Linked DNA regions of Stegostoma tigrinum. The protein of the gene in region 1 interacts with the protein of each later gene in a pairwise test. Links are inferred from orthologs where the notes say so. Each region holds a gene or a part of one and is shown in the gene's direction. Other genes may lie near its edges.

The links. The genes of interacting proteins can lie anywhere in the genome.
Region 2: the proteins of ube2na (region 1) and znrf2b interact in a two-hybrid assay, tested with the Homo sapiens proteins (4 studies listed by BioGRID). The link is inferred for Stegostoma tigrinum from reciprocal best matches to the Homo sapiens genes UBE2N and ZNRF2.

The regions. Positions count from the first base shown.
Region 1 is NC_081378.1:49,660,770-49,668,835, reverse strand, and holds the start of ube2na (ubiquitin-conjugating enzyme E2Na), read left to right. Parts: upstream 1-4,963; 5' UTR 4,964-5,148; coding exon 5,149-5,181; intron 5,182-8,066. UniProt on the Homo sapiens protein: The UBE2V1-UBE2N and UBE2V2-UBE2N heterodimers catalyze the synthesis of non-canonical 'Lys-63'-linked polyubiquitin chains. This type of polyubiquitination does not lead to protein degradation by the proteasome.
Region 2 is NC_081355.1:21,716,513-21,724,446, reverse strand, and holds the start of znrf2b (E3 ubiquitin-protein ligase znrf2), read left to right. Parts: upstream 1-4,898; 5' UTR 4,899-5,870; coding exon 5,871-6,342; intron 6,343-7,934. UniProt on the Homo sapiens protein: E3 ubiquitin-protein ligase that plays a role in the establishment and maintenance of neuronal transmission and plasticity. Ubiquitinates the Na(+)/K(+) ATPase alpha-1 subunit/ATP1A1 and thereby influences its endocytosis and/or degradation.

The DNA.
Region 1 (8,066 bases):
ACTTCACACACGCAGTCGACTGAGGCTGGAATTGAACGCGGGTCACTGTGATACAGTCATGCTAACCACTGAGCCACTGTGCAGCCTCATTAGCCTGGCTCTTTGGATTTGTGGTCCAGTGATGTAACTACTATGCCATCAACTCCTCACCAAGTTGATGCATTGGAATTAATGGCAATTATGAGAGGTAAGTAAAAGATTTTGAGTTTTTGGACAGAGGATTTGTAGACAAAAATTGACTCTTGACTATAGAGGGTATTTTCAAATTAAAGACATTTAAAATACATTTTTGAGACTTCTATTAGAACGTTTTAGAGTTACTCATGCAGAGCACAAATGCAACTGCCTCGATCCCCAGCATAGCTGATTTTAGTGGGAAAATGGTTGGGATCAGCAATTCATACTTGTGCATTCTGAGCTAGAGAAAAGAGATATAGCTTGCAGCATTTCCTCATCTTCCAAGACCCCCTATATGCAAGCAGACATCAGTTGAGAGAATCAGATCGGAGAATTATGCTTCTGCCTGTGGGCAAACACTGTGTTGGCACAGGTTATCTCCGTTCATAACTGAAAAAGAGTCAAGTAAATGAGGTTCTAGATTCTGATCAGTATTACCTGTATGAGTCAATAACTTCAGGTGATGGCTGAGGAGAAGCTGCAATTTAAAGCAATATGAAAATTTCTATGCTACTGACTGTACAGTGTACCCATTGAGAATCATTGCGCCAAAAGAAGTGGCTTTTTTGTGCCCACGGCATTAAAACAAAGGCAGTAGTCCCTTGTAACCACAGCACTATGCTCCATCTTTCCCTTGTCATGCCACCAAAAATCCTGGATTGTGACCTTCTTGTTCTGCAGTGGGAAGAAATCAGCTTTTATGCTCCAAATTTTAGCATGAAAACAAAATCAGAAAATATTTATGATCTCGGATATTTACAATAGTTTTTAATTGTTAAAACATGAATATTTTGTTAATTGGAACATTTCAGATGAAGACCAGTGATCTTTTGAGGAAACATTTAGCTAAATATTTGAAATGCAGCAACATGCAACAGTGTGTGCAGTGAGGTTAGTTTTGATCGGAGTATGGTTTTAAAAATTATATAGACATTAGACAGCTGCATAGGCAGATTAATTCGGGATTGATGGAGTGCAATGGGGAGACAGTGATATGTGTGATTACTTGAGCATTGGTACAAGGCTACAGAGGGGTGGTCAGTGGGATTAGTTTTGGATTCAGCAGATGGTTAGCACAGACCTGATGGGCTGAATGCTGCCTCCTGTGCTGTAAACCTTTATAGATCTTTGGTTCCAAGAGCTGATGTTACTGCACTATGTGGCTCCTGCATTCTTATTTCTAGCTGCTCATATCCTTCTTGAATTGTAGAGGAGAAATAAAAGGAATTCAAATAGTCTGATTGCCTCCTTATCTTCCACAATAATTTAGCAAATTTAAAATGAAAACCTAGAGTCCAAGTTCCTTCCTTCCTCTTACGTGACGAAACTAACACCAGAAAACTCTCAGAAACTGGAATGTTTCTATATTCCAGGCTGGAATTTAGACCTAGGTACATTTTAAGTCGTCACTGGATAAGCATATGGACGTACATGGAATAGTGTAGGTTAGATGGGCTTGAGATCGGTATGACAGGTCGGCCCAACATTGAGGGCCGAAGGGCCTGTACTGTGCTGTATTGTTCTATGTTCTAACAAAGTCAAAATCTGGTATCAGTAGATTACCACTCACTCTCATTCTGTAAACATTTTCCTGTTGTCAAAAATATCTCCTGCACATTCTTATACTGTGAGGTAAATTAATCCATGTGAGAAAATCACAAGAATTAAGCAAAGATGATAACAGCACAGGACAGATTTGAATCAATTGAGCAAATGGTGCAATTTAGCTTATCACAATATATCACACTTTTCTTAAATCCCTACAAGTTGTTTCCCTAAGATGTTTATCAAATTCCATTTTAAGTAGAAACATTAAAAAAAACAGGAATAGGAGTAGGCCATTCAGCCCTTGATCCTGCCGTACCATTTAATATGATCATGGCTGATCATCCAACTCATATCCTGTTCCTGTTTTCTCCCATATCATTTGACCCCTTTAGCCCTAAGAACTAACTCCCTAAACTTTTAATGTTCTTGACCTAATTTTTGACCTCAAAGCACTTTCTGTGGCAGAGAATTCCACAGGCTTAACTCTCTTGGTGAAGAAAGTTCTCCTATTCTCAGTCCAAGATACCTTGTATCCTCAGACTGTGGCTATGACGAGTTTTATGATTTTCCCCATGACTCCGAGCACCTCTTTCAAATGTCATGTCACAAACTGCTCTATTTTGAAGGATGACAGGCCCAGATTCTCCAGTCTATCCAAAGACTAAAGTTCCTCATCTTTGAAACCATTTTCATAACTTTTTTCTGCATCCTCATTAAAATCATTATATTCTTCCTTAAACGCAATGCCAGAATTGAATCGCAATATTTCAGTTCAGGCTTAATTTTTACTTTGTAAAGATTTGTGATATAATTCTTGCTTTTGTGCCGATATATTCTCCATTTTCAAAGCCTAAGATGCCATGTGTATTTCTCAATTTACTCTGTAATCTTCAACAATTTTTGCATCTATATTCCAAGGCCCTATTATTCCTGCATCCACTTTACTGACCATTTCTTATTGCCTTTCCTCATGCTTTTTCTAGGTTAAATTTCATCTGTTGAGGGTGAACACTATCCTCCTCATGATTCATTATGCTTTCTAGATTTTGTGTCATCTAAAAATTTTGAAGTTCTGTCCTGTACACCCAAGTCACTAATGTAGATTATGAAAAGCAACAATCTTTATATCAATTGCTGAGAAACACCATTTTAGACCTTTCTCCAGTCTGAAAAACAACCAATGACCACCACTCTGTTTCCCATCATTTATTGGGCATTGCATCTATGCCGCCATTGTTGCTTTTATTCTTTAGGAATCAGCTTTTGTGGCAAGTCAATTACATGACACCTTAGCACAGGTCTTTTGGAAATCCATGTGTGCCACATCAATCACATTTAAGCTCACCAGTCTGTATCTCTTCAAAAATTTCAACCAAGTTAGTTAAACCTGAATTGCCTTTAAACACCCTTGTTAACCTTCTTCACTTCTCCCATTGTTAATGTTTGTGACTGTTACTTTTGTCACAAATTATTGTTGCTAAAGTTTTCCCACCACCAAGGTTAAACTGACAGGCTTGTATTTATTAGTTGTTTAACCATTTTGAACAAGAGCATAACAGGGGAGGCGATGGCCTAGTGATAGTATCGCTGGACTGTTAATCCCGAAACGCAGATAATGTTCTGGGGACTTGGTTAAAATCCCGCCATGGCAGATGGTGAAATTTGAATTCAATAAAATATCTGGAATGACCATAAATCCATTGTTGATTGTCAGGAAAAACCCATCTGGTTCACTAATGGAAACGGTCATTCTTACCTGGTCTGGCCTACATGTGACTCCAGGTCCACAGCAATGTCGTTGACTCTGAACTGCCCTTGGGGCAATTAGGGATGGACAATAAATGTTCTCTAGCCCAAAACTTTGGTTTTAATTACATTGAAGATAATTATGTACAAGGTACACAGTGATTAATTTCAGAACTGTTCATTGTTAACTGTTGGAAAGTTGGCAATTAAGTCCGATGGGAACTCAAATGAGCTTTATGGTATCAGAAAAGGACATGAGTTGTGACAAGAGTGTGAAAATTAAAACAGGTAAGAGAGTTAGCAACTACAATGATTGGGCAAGTGGCTCAGATAAATTGAGTATGTGGATCAAATGTAGACATCTCAGCAACCAATTTACATAAATTATATAAATGACCAGTTTATCTGGTTTGTTGTCAGTTGAGGTAAGTCTAAACTACTGAAAAATGCTTCACTATTCAGTTAATGTAACAAGGTCTTTAAACGCCATTCCAGCCACTGAAACAATCAACAAAACCTTTGACAGCACAGCAAGCCAGGCAGAATCAGAGGAGTAGGAAAGTTGATGTTTCGTATTGGGACTTTCTCACCTTCTCTAACCAAATTTTTTGTCTGAGATTCAATTTTTTTTAAACTAAAAAATGGTAACCTGGCACATTGATACCTGATGTAGGATTCAGAGTAGCAGCTTGCTCTTGTACAAGGCAGAAGCCTGTCGCCTGTGTTACAGACAGGTACCAGCTACAGGATCAGATGGGCTAGATATTACAAGTGGGAGATGTGACAGAAGTGGCTACTGCGAAAGATTATTTCTGCAGAGTTGGACAATCCGGTTCAAATACAGGTCGCGTTGAACAAAAACTGGAGACTTTACTGTTGCAGGTGGTAGGTGTTTAGTTTCTGTAGGTACGAGGGTGGTGCGGGGCAGGACCTCGTTTATACAGCGTGACGTCAGACAGTTAGGGGTCAGTAATTGGGTTGGGCAAATCGCGAGGTGGCTAGTGTAAGGGTACCTAGAACTAACTAGTCATGTGGGGGGGAAGAAAAAGCCAGTTTCAGCGAGCTTTGAACGTTGTAGACTAAGCGATTGTTCAAGTTTACAGGAGCTTAAAACTTGAATAATCTAGGTTGCTTAAAATTCAGGAGTGTTGGAAATTGTGGAGTTCTTGTCCAACTCTTAAATCATGAAAATGTGGCGTAAATCCATTGGTTTATGGTGGGGGAGGAGACTCTGGTGACATTAGGCCGTCCAAAAGCATTCCACAACCGAGTAGGTTGCAGATACAAGCGAAACATTGAACACTACCCGAGTTACAGCTGTTCGTGTTTTTGCTTTGCATTTTCTGACAATGCACAATCACTTTCGTTTCCCAGCAGTGCGGACACACACCCGCAAGGCTGCAGCCTGCAGGGTTAAAGGGAGTCTTGCAGACGGCTTGCGGTGCATTTCGGGAGTTGTAGTCCCCCGGCCAGGTCAGCCCAAAGGGCGGAACCTGCCCGACGCACTACATTACCCAGCGAGCCCCGCACTCTCCCCTGACGCACCCGGAAGTGGGGGAAGGGCGAAAGAAACAGGAGAGAGACGACAGGCTCCGGCTCCTCCCGCAGTTTTGTGGGAAGAGAGAGAAACAGGAGAGCGAGCGCAAGAAAGCATCGCCGCCCAAACATCGAGCGAAAATGGCAGGCGGGCTTCCCAGGCGTATCACCAAGGTACGGGTCTCGAAAGGCTACAAATTATTAAAAAGCATTTTGTTTCGAATAAAAACATTTAATAATTACCTGTTGAGGTGGTAGGGCGATTATTCCATGTTTCTTTTCCCCTTCTGTCTTGCGAAACCACTTCCGCTTCCAGCTAGGGAAGCCTGAAAAGAAAGCCTCATGGCATCAACATGGCGGCGGAGCCCGCACCGTGTTTTGCGGGGGGGTAGGGAGGTGTAGAAATAGAAGAGAAAGATGACCTGACTGGTATGCCGCTTCCTGGGCCAAGCAGGAGGCCTTACAAGAGTTTCTCTTCCCCCCCCCCCCCCGGGAACTAGGGGCGACAGCGGGGTGGGCCCCCTAATTCTCCCGCAGCGGGCGGGGTGCGTCACAGCCTAGAGCCCGGTGACGCCGATGGGTGAGGCCTAATGCGGGAGGTGGTTATATTTTTGTGTTGGGGGGGGGGGTGGGTGGGAGAGGCGGTGTCGATGAGAGAAGGTTATTTTTCTTTGCTTTAGACCGGGTGTGGAGGGGGTGGCAATTTCTTGGGTCGATAGCGCTTCTTTAAACGTGGAGCAGCTCCTTCTCGCCCCCACCGTGCGTGATTTTTAATGGAGTGCGCGGCTCGAATGACCGCCGCGTTTGAAAAGGGCCCTCGCGCCGCTCGGGTAACGGACTGGAGTTGGCGGGGGGGGGGGGTAGAGAGAGAGACACGTGACTTGTGGGGTCCGCTCCCAGGGTTTTTTAAAAAGGATAGACTGAGGGGGGGGGGGGGGGGGCAAGGCGACCGTGTGACCTCGGCCGGTTGGGAGCTCCCCGTCTCCTCCGCCATGTTGTCGCGGCGTAGCCCGGTGTTGATGCTGGATGGGGGGGGGGAGAATGCACTTGTAGGGATTGTGTGACATTCTGCTGGTACGCGAGCGCTCCCGCTTCGGCTGCAGTGGAAGCTTCTAGAAGCTTACTGTGCGGCGTCGGCCCTCACCGCCTTCGCGGGGCGTCCGAACAGCGACGAGAGTAACGCGGCCCGAAAGTCCCGGGCAAACCGAGAGGGCTCGAAAAATACAAATCGGGGACAGAGCAGGGCCGTACGGCCGCCTTGAGCTGGCTCTGCCCTTCCAGGAGGTCGTGACCGGCCTGATTGTTCTGGGAATTCCCACTCCGATAACGTCTAATTTCCCTGCCTTGACTAAATAGTTTGTGACTCTGCTTTCATAGCCTGAGGTCAAGATCCCTCTCTTGGGCTCTAAGACCTCTGACGCTCGTAGTTGAAAGCGAATCGGTGTTAAATTTGAAGTGGGAACGTAGAAGTTATAATTCAGGGAGTTCCGCGGCCACAGACTGTCAATTCCGTTACAGCTAAAACTGAAAGTAAACCTGAAGACGAAAAGTAGGCAACAGAAACCAGTAGAGTAGTAAATTCAATCTGAGCTCTGTCACTTTTTTTAAAGTGGCACCCCAAATTGAGCCAACCTTAGAAGTTGTGCTACGCTCCCAAAGGCGAAGAGCAGATCGTGTAGTCCTCATCTTGCTTGTTATTTGAGGGATGAACCTAGCAGGCCAGGCAGGAAATCTGACGTTTCAGCCCTAGACCCTTCAGATTTTCTGAAGAAGAGTCTAGACCGAAAACGTCAGCTTCCCTGCTCCTCTGCTGCTTGGCCTGCTGTGTTCATCCAGCTCTACACCTTGTTATCTCAGATTTTCCAGCATCTACAGTTCCTACTATCTGTTATTTGTGCAAACCAGCTGTTTATTACCTATATTACAATAATAACTTTGTATTTCATTGGTTCTAAAGCACTTTGTCATGAAAGATGTTACCCCGAAACGTCAGCTTTTGTGCTCCTGAGATGCTGCTTGGCCTGCTGTGTTCATCCAGCTTCACACTTTGTTATCTTAGATTCTCCAGCATCTGCAGTTCCCATTATCTCGGATCTTCAATTGTGTTCTGTTATCCTGGTTAATCTTTACTGTACTGTTGAGGGCACCTCTAAGGCCTATTTTATAATCTAGAGAATGGAACTGCATGTAATACTTTACCTGTGGACTAATAAAGGTCCTGTACAAATTTAAGCATCATTTCACAGGCTTTCAACTTTGTTTCTCCAAATATTCATTGTTTGCATTTGTGGTGGCCTTGTCTGTGTCTTCATGACCACTTTTTGGACTATGAAATCCTGCATCATTTTGCCTTGGGAGGTAATTTAGATTTCCAGTATTTTACTCCCTTGCAAGTAGGGTTTTGCAATTATTATTAAAACACTGTGTGCCAGAGTGAAGACAGCAGTTGCAAGTAGTTGTGTTTCTGTTACTCTAGTATGTTCCCAAGAAGTTACTCAGTGTATTTCTTTACATTGTTGCTAAAATCAGTGCTTTCTTTCTCCAACTGCTTCTGTGCCTCCTGGCTTTTAGTACGAATGTTCAGACATCCACAGTGTTACTTGGACATGCCAAAATGTACTTGAAATGTTTCAAAAGATCAGATATTTCAGTTGCAATTTCCTCCTCTGTTTTATTACTGTCTGTCCTTTGTTAGTCTGGCAATTGTTGATGTGAAACTTAATAGATATAACAGTTGCTTGGGTTTGTTTTGTCAACCATTTTAGAAAATAGGTTGCTGTGTTGACCTATTTTCAATTCCTTGAGGTGACTCTTTCATTCGTTGCCAAATGTAGTGATGGCACTTTGAAGATTTACAGCTATGGGTATATATCATCCATCCTGGAGGCCTTTTTTGATTTTGAAATTGTCTGCCACAATTTACCAGTAATGTAGAAAAGTTTTAGTTATAGTTAGTAAGCTTTAATGGCTCTCACTCCAAGCAATAATTGTTTAATTTGATCTGTGTGCAAAGCTGGGAGAATTTTGAAGAGTGGTGTTTGACATTTGATATTGCTTAT
Region 2 (7,934 bases), on another chromosome or scaffold:
TAAAAAGGAAATGGCAGTACAATACAAATTTTGTGCACTCTAGAGTTTAATCATACCATCTGAAATGTACAACTTTGATGCAGTGTATTGTTCAATGTTTCCTTCCAGCATCGTTACAGTGTGATTTCACTGTGTGTTGTCTATGAATCTGTCTCTGTCATTATTACTGTGAAATTTCTCTGTGTTGTTTCACGTCTCACTCCCATTGCTATTGTGTGATCTGTCTGTGTATTGTTACAAATCTATATCACTCATTGTTATTGTTTGATTTCTGTGCATATTCCATCTGTCTCTTTTTCTTATAGGTACACATTATTGTTCAATCACTACCTCACTCATTGCTGCTGTTTGATTGCTTTCTCCCTAATCAATCCTGTGTGATCTCACTGTAAACTGTCCAAAGTCCATCTATCAAACTGATAGTGTGAGATGTCTGTGTCTGTTGTTTTACACTTCAATCATACTGTTATTCCGCTTTCTTTCTGTTTACTATCAATGCGTAGTCACTAGGAATTGTCCCATGTGTCACTCTCATTATTTTTCTCTGATCTCTGTCTATTGTCCATGTTTCGCTCTCATTGTTACTGTGTGATCTCTGTATGTTGTTCCAAGGCCTTCTCTTGTACTTTTACTTGTGTGTTCTCTATTTATTGGTTCCATGTGTTTCCCTGACTGAGTGATCTCTCCTTGTGTCACTGCATGTCTCAGTCTCATTATTTTTGTGTGAACTATCTGTGTACTGGTTATGTCTCACTTTCTCATTGTAACTGTATGATTTCTGTGTGTTGTTCCATGTCATAGTCTCATTATTACTGTGGGATCCCTCTGCGTATTGCTCCATGTATCTCCTGCTTGGCTACTGTGTAGTCTCTCTGTGTGCTGTTCCATCCCTCTTTATGTCACTGCTACTGTATGAACTCTGTGTTTTTCCACTTCTGACTCATAGTGTTACTGTGTGACCACTGTATTTGATCATGTCTCTCTCTCTCTCTTATTATAACTGTATGACCTCTGTGTGTTTCCCTGTCACATTCTTGTTGTTACTGTGTGATCCGCCTGTGTGTTGTTGCATGTTTCTCTCTGTAATAGTTACCATGTGATTTTGCTGTGCATTTCCCACATATCACTCACATTTTTGTATTGTTCCTTCACATTCTTTCATTGTTGCTGTGTGATCTATCTGTGTATTATTCCTTGTCACTCTGTAATTGTTACTGTGTGATCCCTAGGAATTTTTGTATGTCTCACTCCCATTTTTACAGTGCGATATCACTTTTTTTCACAATATCTATCTCTCTTCCATTGTTAATGTGTCATCTCTCTGTATTTCTTCATGTTTATCCCTCAGATTGTTACTAAGTGATTTGAGTCCATATTGTTCCAGTCCTAAATCTCATTATTACTGTGTGCTTTTTCTGTGCATTTTTCGATGATAATGTTGCATTTGCTGATTATTGATCCATCTTTCTCTTGCTCATTGTACAATGCACAAATATCAGAGTCACAACATCTGATGCTCATTATTACTGTGTGATCACTGCGTATTGTTCCATGTCTCACTTTCATTTTTACTGTGTGATCTGTCAGTGTATTCTTCCATCTCTGTCTCTCTGGTTGTTACTTTTGATATTTCTGTGTATTATTCTTACTCTCATTGATATTATGCACTCTCTCTGCATACTGTTCTGCCTCTCAAGCACTCTTGTTGTTACTTTCTGATCTGTCTGTAATGTTCTGTGTCTCACTGCCATTTTAAATGTATGATCTCTGCATTACTGGCCCATAGCTCACTCTCACTATCACAGTATTGTTTCACATTTCACTGTGGTCGTTGTCATTGTTGTTGTGTATTGTTCCATGTCTCCTTTTCATTGTTGTGTTATGACATCTCTGTCAATTGCTCTATGTTCATTTGTGTTATTGTTACAATTGATATTTCTTTGTATTGTTCATATGTCATTCATTGTTACTGTGAGATCTCCATGTCAATTCTCACAGCGCCACAGTGCAATATCTTTGTCTCATTCTTTTTTCCACATCTCATTCTTATTATTTCCAGTAATTGCTCTGTGTATTGTGCCTGGCTCAGTCTCATTTTTACTGCATTATGTCTCTGTATATAGTTCTAGCCTCTCTCTTTGTGACTGTGCAATCTTTCTGTATTGTTAACATATCACTCTTAGTTACTATGTGATCTCTTTCTGTATTGGTCCGTATCTACCTTTGTCATTGTTACTTTGTGAAGTCTCTCTGTGAAGTCCCATTACTCTCTTCCTTGTTGGAACTTTGTGATCTATCTCCATGTTGTTCCACGTGTTAGCTCATTGATTGTTACTGTGTGATCTTCTGTATATTGTTCCAAAGCTATCATTTCAACAGTTACTGGTGATCATTCTTTGTATTGTCCCATGTTACTGTCTCACTGATACAATGTGATCTCTGTCTATACTGATCCCTATCTATATCATTCAACGTTACTGTGTGATCACCGTTTGTATTCTACCCATGCCTGTCTCTTAATTTGTTGTTGTGAGGTCTGTGCATTGTTCCACACCTTTTTCTCACTTTGTTGCAATGTGTTCTCTCTTTGTATTGTTCCATAGTTCACTCGGATTGTTACTCTGATACCACCCTGTGTGTTGGTCCATGTCTATCTCTCTAATTCCTACCATATGATCTTTGTGTATTGTTCAAAGTCTCATTTTCACTAGTACTGTCTCTTCACTGATTTCTCTATATTGTTCCATGTTTCTTGTCTCTCATTGTTTCTGTGTGATCTCTGTTCATTGTTCCATGTCTAACTTTCACTGTTATTATCTGTTCTCTCTGTTCCATGTCTCTCTTTCTGTCCCCATTGCCTTATTATTGTTGCGTGATTGCTGTGTTTTGTTCCATTTCATAGAGTAATAAAGGATAGAAACAGGCCATTTGGCCCACCATGTCTATGCTGACCAGCAAAAACCAAACTACATTTTCCCACTTAACTGCACTTGATCTATAATCTATTATGCCCAGGCATTTAAGTACACAACCAGATGCTTCTTACATGTTGCGAGGGTATCTGCTCCCACCACCCTCTCAGGCAGTATGTTCCATATTTCTATCACACTCTGGGTGAAAAAATTATTTCTCATATTTCCTCTAAACTACTTGCTCCTCACCATAAATGCATACTGTCTGGTCTTAGGTACATCTGCCATGGGGAAGAGATTTTCACAATCTACTCTGTCTAGAGTGTGGAAGCAGGCTTGGTTCAGACCATCAAGTCCACACTGATTCTCCAAAGAACAGCCCACTCAGACCCACTCCCTACCCCTGTAACCCTACATCCCCAGTGGCTAATCCACCTAGTCTGCATGTCCCTTGACACCATGGGCTATTTAGCATGGCCAGTCTACCTAACCTGTACAGCCTTGGACTGTGGGGAGAAATCAGAATATCCAGAGGAAACCCATGAAGACACAGGGAGAATGTGCATATTCCAAAGTCACCTGAGGGTGAAATTGAACCTGGGTTCCCTGGTGCTTTGTGGCAGCACTGAGCCACCTTGTCATCACTCAGGATCTATGCCTCCCATAATTTTGTATACATCAATCAGATCTTCCTTCAGTCCCCTCTACTTCAAGGAAACTTAACCCAGCCCACCTAGTGTCACCTCAGAATTGAGACTTTCCATTCCAGGCAACATCCAGGTGAATCTCCTCTGCACCCTCTGCAGTGCAATCATGTCCTTCTGATGGTGTGGCAACCAGAACTGCACACAGTAGGCCATCTGAGGCCTAATAAATGTTTTAGCAATTAACAAGACTTTTTTGCTCCAATATTTTATGAAGGCAAGCATCCCGTATGCCTTCTGCAGCACAATGTCTACCTGTGCTGTACTTCCATTGTTCAGGTCTCTCTCTTCTCATTATTATTATGCAATCTCTGTGTATTGTTCCATGTCTCATTTTAATTGTTGCTGTGTGATCTTTGTGGATTTCAACCTCTCTCTCATCGTTACTTTGTGACCTGTGGATTATTTTCTGCCCCCTCACTCATTATTACTGTATGATCTCTGCATTTTTCAGGATCACATTTTCATTGTTACCATCTGATCTCTGTGTAATTTTCCCTATCACTCATTATCTACCTCTCTCTGTTTTACTGTCTGATCTTTGTGTATTGTTCTATATCTCACTGTCATTGTTACTGTCTGATCTATCTGTATTATTCCCTGGCTCTTCTCTCTCATTGTAACTCTCTAATCTCTGTCTATGATCCAGTCTCTCACTCTCATTGTTACTATTTTATCACTGTGGATTGTTCCCTGTGTCTCTCTTTATTAATGTATAATCTCTTGTATTGCTCCCTACCTCTGCATCTCATTAATACTTTGTGATCTCTATAGATTGTTCATATCTCTCTTTTCATTGTCACAATGTGAGCTCTGTGCATTGTTCCATCTCTCTTCCTAATTGTTACTGTGGTCTCCGCACATTTTCCCCGATCTGTCTCTCATTATGACTGCATGATCTGTGTATATTGTCCCAGCCTGTCCTTCTCATTGTTACTGTGTGTTATCTGTGTACTGTTCCTGCTTCTCTCTCTTTCGTTGTTATTGTATGATCTCTATGTTTAATCCTGTCTCTCCCTCTCTCTGTTACTGTATGTTCTCTATATATTGTTCGTATCTCTCTCTCTCTCATTGTTACTGTGTGATCTCTATGTATCGTTCCTGCCTCACTCTCTCTCTCATTGTTACTGTGGGATCTCTTTGTATCGTTCGTCTCTCTCTCATTGTTACAGTATGGTCTCGATTCCAGTCTCTCTCATTCTCATTGTTACTGTGTGGTCTGGATTCCAGTCTTTCTCTCTTTCATTGCTACTGTGTGATCTCTATGTATTGTTCCTGTCCCTCTCTCATTGTTACTGTGTGGTCTCAGTACATTGTTCCCTGTCTTTGTCGTCGTTAACCGTGATATCTGTGTATTGTTTCCCCCACGTCTCTCTCTCTCTCTCTCTCATTATGACTGTGTGATCTCTTCCTGCTGTTTGTGACGTGCCCTGACGCGAGGAAGGGGGTGGCCAGTCAGTCAGTCATTGAGTAAGTCTCCGTGTTTGTTGTGAATGTGCCTCGGTGTTATCTGGCCGTCCTCTGGACTTTAATGATGCGTGCGTGTCGGCGTTTGGATGTCCCCCTGTCGAACAGAGTGCCAGGAGCTCCCGAAGCATGAGGAAGGCAAAACGGGGTGGGGGCAAGAGGAACTAGTTGAACCAACACACATACACAGAGAGAGAGAGAGAAAAAGAAGGGGGGGGGGCTGAAAACAAAGAGAGAGGAAAAGCAACAGCTCACTTTTGTTTTTGTTCTGATTGCCATGCTGTTGGTTTAGCGCTGCGATGGCGGATAGAGCGGGGCGGCAGCAGCAATCCGGAGGAACGGCAGTAAGAGCAGGAACTGAATCGGGAGCGGAGCCAGCGCGGCACTCCCGCCGGTTGCAGTACACTCACCCGCGGGCCACTTGCTGAACCTTTCTCCCTGTCTGCAGCGCCGCCTCGGATCTCCTGCAAAAGGGCTGCAGCAGCAGCAACGGTATGCACCAAGGCTGACTCGCTTTCTTTAACTGGGATCTTTCTGTTCCTCAAGTAATAAACACACACATCCCGTGCTTTTTGTTAAAAACAACTACCCCCCCCAAAAAAATACAAAATCAGCGGAACAAGGGGCAGCAGTGGATTCGAGAGAAACATTGGGAACCTCAATCTTTTGGGGGGGCTGGGGAAGAGAAGGATTCAGAAGCGGAAGAAAGTGGCTCAGAAGTTTGTTAGCGACCGATTTGAGAAGCCCCTACCTTTCCCCCCCTTCCTCCTGCCCCCAGGTCACCCCCATGGGGGCGAAGCAGAGCAGCCCGGCTCCGAGCGGTCGCACCCGGGCTTACTCGGGCTCCGATCTGCCCTCGCACACGGTCAGCAGCAGCAGCAGCCGCTCGGTTGGGGGATCTGCCGCCGCCGCCGCCGCTTCATCATCATCATCGAGCGCCTCGGGCCACGGCTCAGTGGCCGGCTACGGGTTGGCCCCCACGTCCAGCGGCCGCTTCCACTTGGTCTCACCGCCGCCGCCGCCTCCTCCTCCTCCTCTTCCACCTCCAGCCGCCGGCGGTCCCAGGTCAGCGACTGGCGCCGGCATCAGGAACCAGTCGGTCAACATCCCCAACAGCGGCGGCACTTGCAGCTCGCAAGAGGAGTCGGAGGGCAGCACCCCGGAGGAAAGGACACCCGAGCGGCCGGGAGCACACAGCTCAGCTCCCCGCTTACTCATCGGCTCGCTGCCCGCTCACCTGTCTCCTGACCTATTCGGAGGTAAGCGCCTCTTTAGAAACCGGGCGGTGTGGGAAACGCGCTTTCCCGAGAGGACAGGACCCCGAGCCTAACGGGACGGGCTCCCCTGTACTGGGGGGGTCCTACCCTTCTGATGGAAGAGGGGTTTTTCCTATTGATATTGCTAAAAGAATAACTGGAACGAATTTTAACAGGTTCCATTCCTGTCTCCCTCCCTCAAAACGCGGATCCCTCAAACCCTTCAGTGTTCCTTTGTGAACAAAACAAAAGCAATGACAAAAAAGAAGTTCCAGAGATTAATCGGGACCCCTGTTGCTGACAGCACTGCCTTATCAATATGCGGACTTTCAAGCGCTTGCGTACATTCTGGCTCTTTCATTGGGAAAGCGGTCATGCTTTTGAGAATATCGCCCCCCGCCCCTCACCATTTCCCCAAGTACCGTGTTCCGCACAGATTTGATGTCCCCACCGATCTCACAGGCACCACGGACTGAGGCCCATGGCAATTTTTGTTTTTTTTTGTTCTGGGGCACCTTCCCATTATTTACATCTGTGTTTTCAAAACATGTCGTCCCCGCTCTGGGGCTGGCTGTTAACAGGTGATGTGAAAAGGGGCTCTGTGCACCGAGCACTCTCAACTGGAGACTTGCACAGCTCCGACCGGCGACACGTTGCTTATTCCTCGATGCATTATTTACTCGAGTACCGGGTTCTGATTCGGGAAAGCAATTTGCAGCCCCCCGGGTGTTTATATAGTCACTTTACCCGAAGCCAGTAAAACGTGAAACCGCGGTATAAACTCGGCTGTGTGATTGAGGAGTTTGAGATTACAATGTAGATTGCAACTTGGTTGACAAATTGTCAAGTATCCTGCTCACACACTCGCCCCTTTCTCAAGGCGCGGTGTAGTAGAATCAGTGAGTTCCTCGTTGCTCTGGGCGATCCCTGGTGAGGGATCTCCATTATTATTAGGATGTTTTCTGTGGAGAACTGTATGGCCTCCCACCAACACCTCGTCTCAGTAGCGTGTCCTAGGTCAGCTCAGCGAGTTTGGACTATTCCAGGCAGCACAGTGGTTGTTCCTGAATGTGTTTTGCTCTCGTTACATAGCTCATCGCTCTAGTGCTGAAAGTCTCGCCGTGTGATATAGTAAATGGCTAGTAAGGATGAGTTCATCGTTGACACATCAACACAGTTTAGAATTGGGCAAGAGAGATGAATGAGAGTTTTAAAACCTACAGAGGCACATAACTGAAAATTGTATAAATACTGTGATTGTCACAGAGTTTATTTTTCTTTGTATTCCTCATGAATTTCTTCCAAACCCATTATTCTACCTGGAGATAGTAAACTAATCTGCCGCTATAGCCAGGAAGGCTGGTGAACAGTTTGTGACCAGGCTACGGAAATATTTTCCCAGTATACGTTAGGAGGGGTACTAAGGGAGACTTCCACCTGCCTGTGTCCTCTCTACAGGGAGGGATAGAGAGTGCACTCAGCTCTGTTCATCCTGTGGTGGTCAGTTATTATGCGACTGGTAGTCAGTTGTCGGGAGGTTTAGAAATATGTACCTGTGACTAATTTTTATGCTTAAGGAATTTACTTCCAGTTTT